Linked DNA regions of Bombyx mori. The protein of the gene in region 2 binds, or shares a complex with, the protein of the main gene of each other region. Links are inferred from orthologs where the notes say so. Each region holds a gene or a part of one and is shown on either strand. Other genes may lie near its edges. The genes, in order: protein TRC8 homolog and sterol regulatory element-binding protein cleavage-activating protein.

Region 1 (4,629 bases), on a different chromosome or scaffold from region 2:
ATTGAGCTTTGCAGGCGGCAACATTCATTACGTGAACATAATCATTGTGTTAAAGAAATGTAAGCACCTTCAGTTAGGTATTAAAATTAAGTTACGTTTAATGCAATGTTACTTGTCCTAGGATTAGATGGCAGGCCGTAAGACGTCTAGTAGGTACCACCACCCTGGTTGTTCCAGCGGCGTAGAAGTAATATGTTCCAGTTCGAAGGGCGGGGCAGCCATTGTACTATAGAACTGAGATTTACCATAGAACTCGGTTCTTAAGGTGTTTGAGGTTATTTAAATTAGTTATATCGTAGAATTTGTTACCATTTAACAATCAGATGGACTATGAGCTCGCTCACCCAATTTTAAGCAATTTAAAAAGCTATTATAATGGAACCAAATATCCGAACGTGCGACACCGCCCCAGCCGCCGCCTTGCCCCCCCGCTGAGACAGCTCTCGAGGAGAAAAAACACGCGCACTCGGCGCGCGCGACGTCGACCTACAAAATATTGTCAGTCTTAGTTTATCTGTACGGTTCTCAACTCATTTTGTAATATTTTAGTTTTTGTGTCGCTTTTATATTAAAACCTCATACAAATCAGTTGTAAACATTATTTCCATATCATCTTCGCAAACAGCCCGGAACACCGAACTCACAAAAGCCCCGCCAGTCGGACTTTTAGTGTTAAACTATGAAAATTACAATTGTTGTGTGCCTCTAATTAAAGATATTGTACGAGAACCTGAACAACAACTGATAACGAGAATATTAAAACTAACTTCGGTAAAAAAAAAAAGTTATTTTTGCAAGCTACCAGTTAGTTATAGGCCTGTCCTGGTGAAACTGGAAAGGCCTCCGGGCCAACAATAATCTTTCAATCATAAAAAAAAACATTTATCCAATTCAGCCGGCTCAGCACGTTTCTTAGCTTTTTTACTATTATTTTCTTTGCCTACGGCCAGACCATTAACCCTTGTGGTCACACATTTCCAACTTGTCAATTCTACATTTTGTGGCTGGAACTCAAGGCATTGATTTAGCTAATTTACCGGCACGATCTCTGGTCTCGAAGGGGAATGTAACGGTAGCTCTCAGATAATAATAACTTTAACTAATAATATAACTGGGAACAAATTACACAGTGTTATCCGGCCCCAATTTAAAGTTCCCTGTATTATGGGTACATGAGATTGATAAACTTAGTTAAATATCTTTCTTCTTTCTATCTAGTTCTGTCTTTCAATAGATACATATACAGATAATAAACACCCAGACAGTGCTATCAAACCTGTTCATCACACAATTTTTGCCCGATGTGGAAATCACCACCACCACTCACGGCGCAACGGTTAGGGGCGCAACTACTGCACGATCGAAATAGTAAAAAAACTCAGAGGATAATACACGATACTTCTCTAAAACCTGAATATCTCACAATATGTGTGCAGCATGTACTGTAGAAATCTACCTTCAAAAGGACTCATTCTCATTCTTTCAAACATTCGATGCAAGTTGTGTATGTTTCTCTTTTTAGAAACGCTTATCAACGAGTTTCACATCACAATAGTGTTAAAGACTAAGTAAGTAACTAAAACTAGACTAAATAATTAAAAAGATAAGAAACCTTGACGTGGCTCTTCTCTATCTTTTACAAGATAGAAGGGCCCTTATTTTGACCTACAATGTACTTTACAACTCAAAACCATAGTACATTTTCTCACAAAGAATATGACAACACTAAATTGTCTCTTTCATCGCTCTACTTAGGTTTCATTATCTATGGTTTTATTTACTTCGAAAATTTGGCAACAGGGCAACATCTAAATTTGTAACGTCAAATTTTTATTGTCGCAAATTTTCAGTCATTTTTTCGTATCAATTTACGTTTTTTTTTTTTAAAACAAGACGAATAAAGCACATCTTTATAAGTTCAATTTTATGTATTAAAATATATCTCAACTTGGTATAGTAGACGTATGCAGTGTGTAACAGATGCTTGTGTTGTATTTAAATTGTCAGTGATAACGTGTGTGACTTTCCGCTTAAATGAATAATGTCGCTGAGGTTGAAGGCCCTGGCACTAGTGGAGGTGCTACTGAGGGTGCCACCGTTGTTTGTGGTGGATGAGTTCCTTAAGATCAGCCTAGGGCTGCCCGTGTCCAGCGAGGAAGTGCCAGTATTGAGCAATGTCACAGTGGACCACGTCGATATATTGGAGCCAGATGTGAATTACTACGATGCTAACTTCTATAATGCATTTTTCGTCACTTTTTTCAAGTTCCTCGTTTGCTGTTCAGGTGAGAAAAATATTTATACATCATCAACACAACAAAATTATGTTAATCTTTTACAATAATTCAAAGTTCAATTAAAATTTTTGCGTAGTTTTATTTGGACTATAGTGTTACTGATAAGTGATTCTACTTATATGTATAAATCAAGAATTTTGATTTTAAAAGGTCTTGTAGTATTTTCTTCGGCTTTTGCGAGTCATAGAATCATAACTAACTTTATAGTTTAAACTCACATTTAATATTCTCATTATTTTTCCGACGCTTCGAATACTGTAAAGTTTTCATGATCAGGAATAACTCATCAAAGTAGACTTATTTACATTTTTACAAAAATAAACCAGTTGCAATAAGGAAAAATGAATGTTGTTGAAAAAGGGTACTTAAACCAAAATTCTTAGTATTTGAGAAATGTACCCAAAGTCCAAATTTCTGAAGGTGGACTGATATTTCAGAACAACAATTTAAGATCTTATTTTGTTCCATAGTTGTAATAGGTTTTTGGGCACCTCTAAAAACAAGCAAATTAGTTGCTGCAATACAATATTCATCATTATATTTTGACTTCATTCTCACAATGTAATAAACTGTGTTTATTATTGTTATTTATTGTGCATTTGAATTCTGATAGCCACTTAACACTAGATGGGTAATTTACTCATCTACTTATGTATGGCATAAGAAACTGATCTGCTTATTATGAAAATCAAACCATTATCCATACAGTTATTACTTATCAACAAGAATATACGCACAATGGTCAATTGCTACCACAATCAGCCTAATCAGAAAGTGTGTACCAAACATTTATAAGGTGGCAACTTGACAGGGGCAACTTTGTGTCAGCCATGTTTTAGTGTGAATTTTATATAAAAACATGTCACTCTGTAAATGAAATTGCCATGGAATATTAGGTTGTACTGACAACTATTTTATTCTTTAATTTTTTTTTCGTGTTTACTATATTTCACCCACATTCCTTTATGAAGAATATGGAGTCAGTAGGATCCAAAACTAAATTTACAAAAGGGATATAAACAAGTGATTTGTAATTTTGTATTAACGAGTACTTACTCTCTAGTGCTAAAGCTTCTGGAATAAAAACTTATATAGCAACATTGTGTTTTTGCATTGCCCTTGTAGGCAGACAACTATATGGTCCACTTGATGGTTAGTGGTTAGTCTTCCACGGATGTCAGCAATGCCAGGCAGAACCAAGCCGCTATCTACTGTTTAAAATTTACCAGTTTTTAAAACCAATTAATAAATTATTGAAATTTTACTGATCTAAAATTTAATGAAACACTAGTGATACTAACAAGATATAAACTTATATATCTATAGATTTTATAGCCTGTGAGAGAACAAGACATAATATTTCTGAAGCTTTAACTTCTACAGAAAAAAAACTCAAATCAGAAACGCCTTCATAACTTAAGCAAAATTACAGAGTAAACTATTGTCATTGTCTAATATACTACTTCGGACAGTGACATGATGAAACTTTAAGAGCATTTAAGAGATTACAAAAACAATTCGTAATTGCAAGAAAAGGACAGCAATACATCACAATTTTCATCAAAAACTTAACTGTTTTATCCCCATTAGACTTTGAGGTCACATCTCAAACTGGCTGCCAGTATTTACATGACATCTATTGGCAATCTATTTCATATAAAACTTGTTGGGACATTTACATGCTTAACATGTTAAACATCACTCCTATTCTTAAGGAAGTTCCCTGTGGAAATTGAATGGCATGCTAAAAACAATAACACAGACCAATAACCTCTAACTCCAAAAAAGTATGATTATCGTTTATTGAGTTATGATAAATATGCACCAAAATACAGTAGAACAACGGCCAGAAAAACAATTAAGCAAGTTGTTACATTTTATGTTCGGTTTTTTATGATAGGTTCATAAGTGTAAAGGATGAACATACTTTAATAAATTTGATTAAATCATTAATTAATGAATTTGAATAAATTTTCAATAGTATATTAAAGCATGTTAAACACTGTAAATCACTGGTGTTTGACATGGCCGTATCTGACAGACCAGCATCAGCCGTCGATGATTGAGCTCGTGCTTAACATGTTAAGCTTATTTCATAAAATACATAAACCTTGATAATTCATACCAAAAATAATGCTTGGAATCAACTACCTATAATATTGTCTTATCTTGACAAATTGCAAAAAAATATTGTCAAAATGACTAAGCGGTAAGTAGAAGTCAATGACATGTTTTCTTTTTGCTGTGTCATCGTCAAATTGTTCAGTTGTATTTGGAGACTGATGGATCTTAACAGTTAACATTCAATTTTGACTTCGTTCTTGTAAGCACC
Region 2 (3,834 bases):
GGCTGCCCCGCCCTTCAAACCGAAACGCATTAAGGCCCGTCCACACAGCGATATTTGACCTCGAGGTTTTTATTATCGCGTATTAAATTCCGCGATCGGAATTACACCTAGTACGCACTGCGAATAAAATTTAGTAATATTTTTGTTAGTTTAATTCAGTTTTCGGCTGAGACGCACGTGTAAAATGGACAACCGAACTAATTTTATTCGAATTTTATTCCACAGTGCGAACATAGCCATACTTACTTTATACGGTACAAAATATTCGCGCGGAAATAAATCGCACCGCTTCGCGTTCAATTTGCATAAGTCACAGATTTTTTTCCCGCGCGATTTTTTTTGCTCCGGATACTCCTATAATATTAAATGTGTTACAGAATTACGAGAAAAAAAACGCGCGGTGAAATATCGCTGTGCGGACAAGGCCTTAATCACAGATTTTTTTCTCGTACGTTTTTTTTAACCGTCAGTGCGGCTACTCCTATAGGATTAAATGTGTTACGGAATTACGCAGTGCGGACAAGGCCTTACGCTTATTATTTATTATTATTATTGTTTTACCTTGACCACGTGATCCTGACCTCCGGTTAAGATGCGACCGCCTTCCGAGTGCATCTCAGTAACAGGCTGCTGATGAGGCCTGCACTGCGCTATTCGAACGCACACCACCTCTATGAATTAATAATAAAATAATTTAACTCGATTATAAAAATAAAAGACAGGAAACATCACTGTTTAAGTTATACTAGATATAATCAAAACAACCCCTCTGCTCATATCTGTTCATAAAATACTTTTTTATATATAAAATATTTATACTATTTTTAATTCAAATTTATTAAAATTTATTTTCTATTTTTTAGTTGGATTTTCTATAAAAACGTATTTTGTTAGTTTTTTTAAACTATTATTTATGTTTAATTTTTTAGCTGAATTTAATGTTTTCATATTTAATTTTTTTCATTTTTCTTTTTTTAAATATTGAATTGTCATCGGTCCTTAATAAGTATACCAAATTTCAAGTTAATCCGCCTTTTTGAAGGGGGTCAAAATCATGTTCAAAGATTCCATTACATACTAACATACATACGTCTGAAGCTAATAAAAACGTATTAAAATACGACAGTTTGTTCCATGGTTCGTGATTACGTACGTACGAACAGATCTACAAATCGAATGGTAGTTTACGGAACAAAGAGCGACAAAATCAACTCTTTTTTATCCTACCTACGCCGAAAGTTCGGTTTTCCTCCAGCTGTACAGGGAAGAAAGTCTAACTTTTCCTCCCGCCGTACAGGGAAGAAAGTGTAACTTTTCCTCCCTGGGTACAAGTGCGCATGCGCGTTAGTGTCTACATCTACTCTCATGCACTTAGAATTTTCCGCCATTGTTGTGCTAGGGTAATTTGCAATATTGTTTAGTGTAAAAGTGAAATAAACAAAAGGCAATAAATTTTAATAGTGAAGTATTAAACAAAGATGAGTTTATTAGACAGTTCTTATTCAATTAGTAGTAGTTTATTTAAAAATTAAACCCCACCGGGGCTTCGCCCCTGGACCCCGGCTCGGTACTCCACAAACTTTAGGTCTAGTAGGAGAAAAAATAGTATGTGCAACGCGGGAAAAAAGTAGGACATTTCATCCTGGGAAGGAATGTCCTACTTTTCTCCCTTGGTAAACAATGTACTATTATCCCGGGAAAATGAAGCGTCTTTCATTCTTTTTGAATTACAAATTCAAATTTCGAGACAGTTTATATTTTCGTTAATAACGGCAGGGTAAGTTCACCGCGTATAATAAATACATTATTGACTAAAGTTCGATCGAATGCAATTCGTACCTTCTCCGTCATTAGGATCGCTTTTGTAGGTGAAATTAGTTCTGTATCGGGAGCTTTCGTCGTTCACGCCGAAGCTCGTCTGTAACGAGCCGGTCGAACCGTTCCGCTTGTGCGCTGTGAGATAATTAATAAGACATTGACGTTAATTAAAAAAAAAATACTCTGTGCTTTTTTACGTTCACATCCCAAGCAGCCCACAAATACAGATTTACGACTTAATTCAAGCAAACGTATTTGTTATTCTTGGCAAATAAATAAAAATAAATGAGCTATTCGTCAAAATAATATGAATCACAAAAGTAAATGTTGCTTCATTCTGCACCAATTTTGTATAAATTATATGATCATTTTGTAAGTGGCACAGTTTAATAATATTTCAAAAAAAAAAAAAGCCATATTGAATAATAAAACTTAGTAATTTAAAACTATTTGAACCAACTAAAATTTAAATACACACAGCTACAGACTACAAACTGTATATTGTCAAATCTCATCTACACTATCTGGAAGTGAACTATATTTATTGGTTATATTGATGCAATGAAGATATAATCTCAACGTTTGCAGCAAGATTTATATTACGACATCCTTAACTAAGCTAGTAATATTTAGAAAAAATAACAACATTATATGTTACGTTAACAGGAAAGACTCAAACGATAAGGTCGAAAATAAATTATTAATTCCAAAAGGACAGAAGGCTCGCGCATATTGCAGTCCGATAGTCCATATGAAATGCACGAAAATGGAGTACGTGGGATTTTTGTTATGCAATAACCCCCCATTCCAACTATGTGCGCGAGCCTTTAGTTTTCCGAGTCGTTCCTGTTAGGTGGTTATATTCGTCTTCTCGCATTAAAACTGTATAATCTCAAAACTTACTAATTTTACAGGAGAGTATTTTAAAGGTTTAACATGTGATATTTTTAATATTAATCATCTTTGCAACATTTTTCTTTTTTTTTTACCACTATCAATATTTATCTTTTAAGTAAGATAAAATGATATATTAATTTTAATAATAGTAGTCAAAACATAGGTAAAGTAAAAAAAAAAAAAACTAAAACTATACTACGCTCTTTTGACAGTATTTATGAGAAAAATACCGGTTATACCAAATGATTCCGCATATTAACTCAATTTCGAATATTTTTATTATACACTTTCAATGCGAAAAGACGATATATCAGCGAAGACGATATTAATATATTCATCAACATTCTTTGATAATTCATTCACCGTCCAGGCGGTTCGATTAGTGAGTAGCCGGATGCAGTGAGAAGTGCTCCAACTTTAAACTGTTTTAAAAGAATGGTGAAGGAACACTACTTATATGCTTAGTGCTGTTTGTTTGCATCATTATCATTTATAATTTCCATACTGTTGATTTATTATGTGTATGTAAGTATATTAGTATGTATTGTATGTAAGTATGTATATTGGTATATAAATCAGTTAACTATATATTTCATATTATATGTAAATGGTATATATATGTATTTAGTACACCGCAATATAGCTGCTATATTTTTATATTTTCCAGAATTTCTGTAAATTAAACGGTTGTCTGGAAGAGATCGCTTTAAGCGATACGACCGCCTATTGTACAAATCTATCTGCTTTTTGACTGTTTTTTGAATGTAAATTGTGTTTTGGTGTGCAATAAAGTGTATTCTCTCTCTCTCAGCTCGGGTGCTTACTTCGTCTGTGCGCGGTGCTGAAGCCCCAGTCGACATGGGCGCCCGACGCACTGTTGTAGGCGTCGAGGCGCATCAGAGTGAGGTGCCCGGAGAGCGAGGCCGCACACACCCGCGCCGCGCCCGCCAGCGCCCGCACGTGCGTCACGCCCTCGCCGCCCCCGCACACGCACTACATCACTACCCACACTCACTTAAACCGATCATATACAGCTCGCCCTAGATAACTTAACTCATAATTTTTCATTAGGTAACATATTGAAATAATAAAAAAAAAATGTGACTCCCACTGTGAATC

What was found.
Region 1: sterol regulatory element-binding protein cleavage-activating protein (region 2) and protein TRC8 homolog share a complex: the UniProt entries of both Homo sapiens proteins name them as parts of the SCAP-SREBP complex. The link is inferred for Bombyx mori from reciprocal best matches to the Homo sapiens genes SCAP and RNF139.

The regions. Positions count from the first base shown.
Region 1 is NC_085132.1:9,862,393-9,867,021, forward strand, and holds the start of protein TRC8 homolog, read left to right. Parts: upstream 1-1,727; 5' UTR 1,728-2,041; coding exon 2,042-2,285; intron 2,286-4,629. UniProt on the Homo sapiens protein: E3-ubiquitin ligase; acts as a negative regulator of cell proliferation through mechanisms involving G2/M arrest and cell death.
Region 2 is NC_085107.1:13,849,348-13,853,181, forward strand, and holds part of sterol regulatory element-binding protein cleavage-activating protein, read right to left. Parts: intron 3,709-3,834; coding exon 3,540-3,708; intron 1,954-3,539; coding exon 1,840-1,953; intron 672-1,839; coding exon 562-671; intron 1-561. UniProt on the Homo sapiens protein: Escort protein required for cholesterol as well as lipid homeostasis.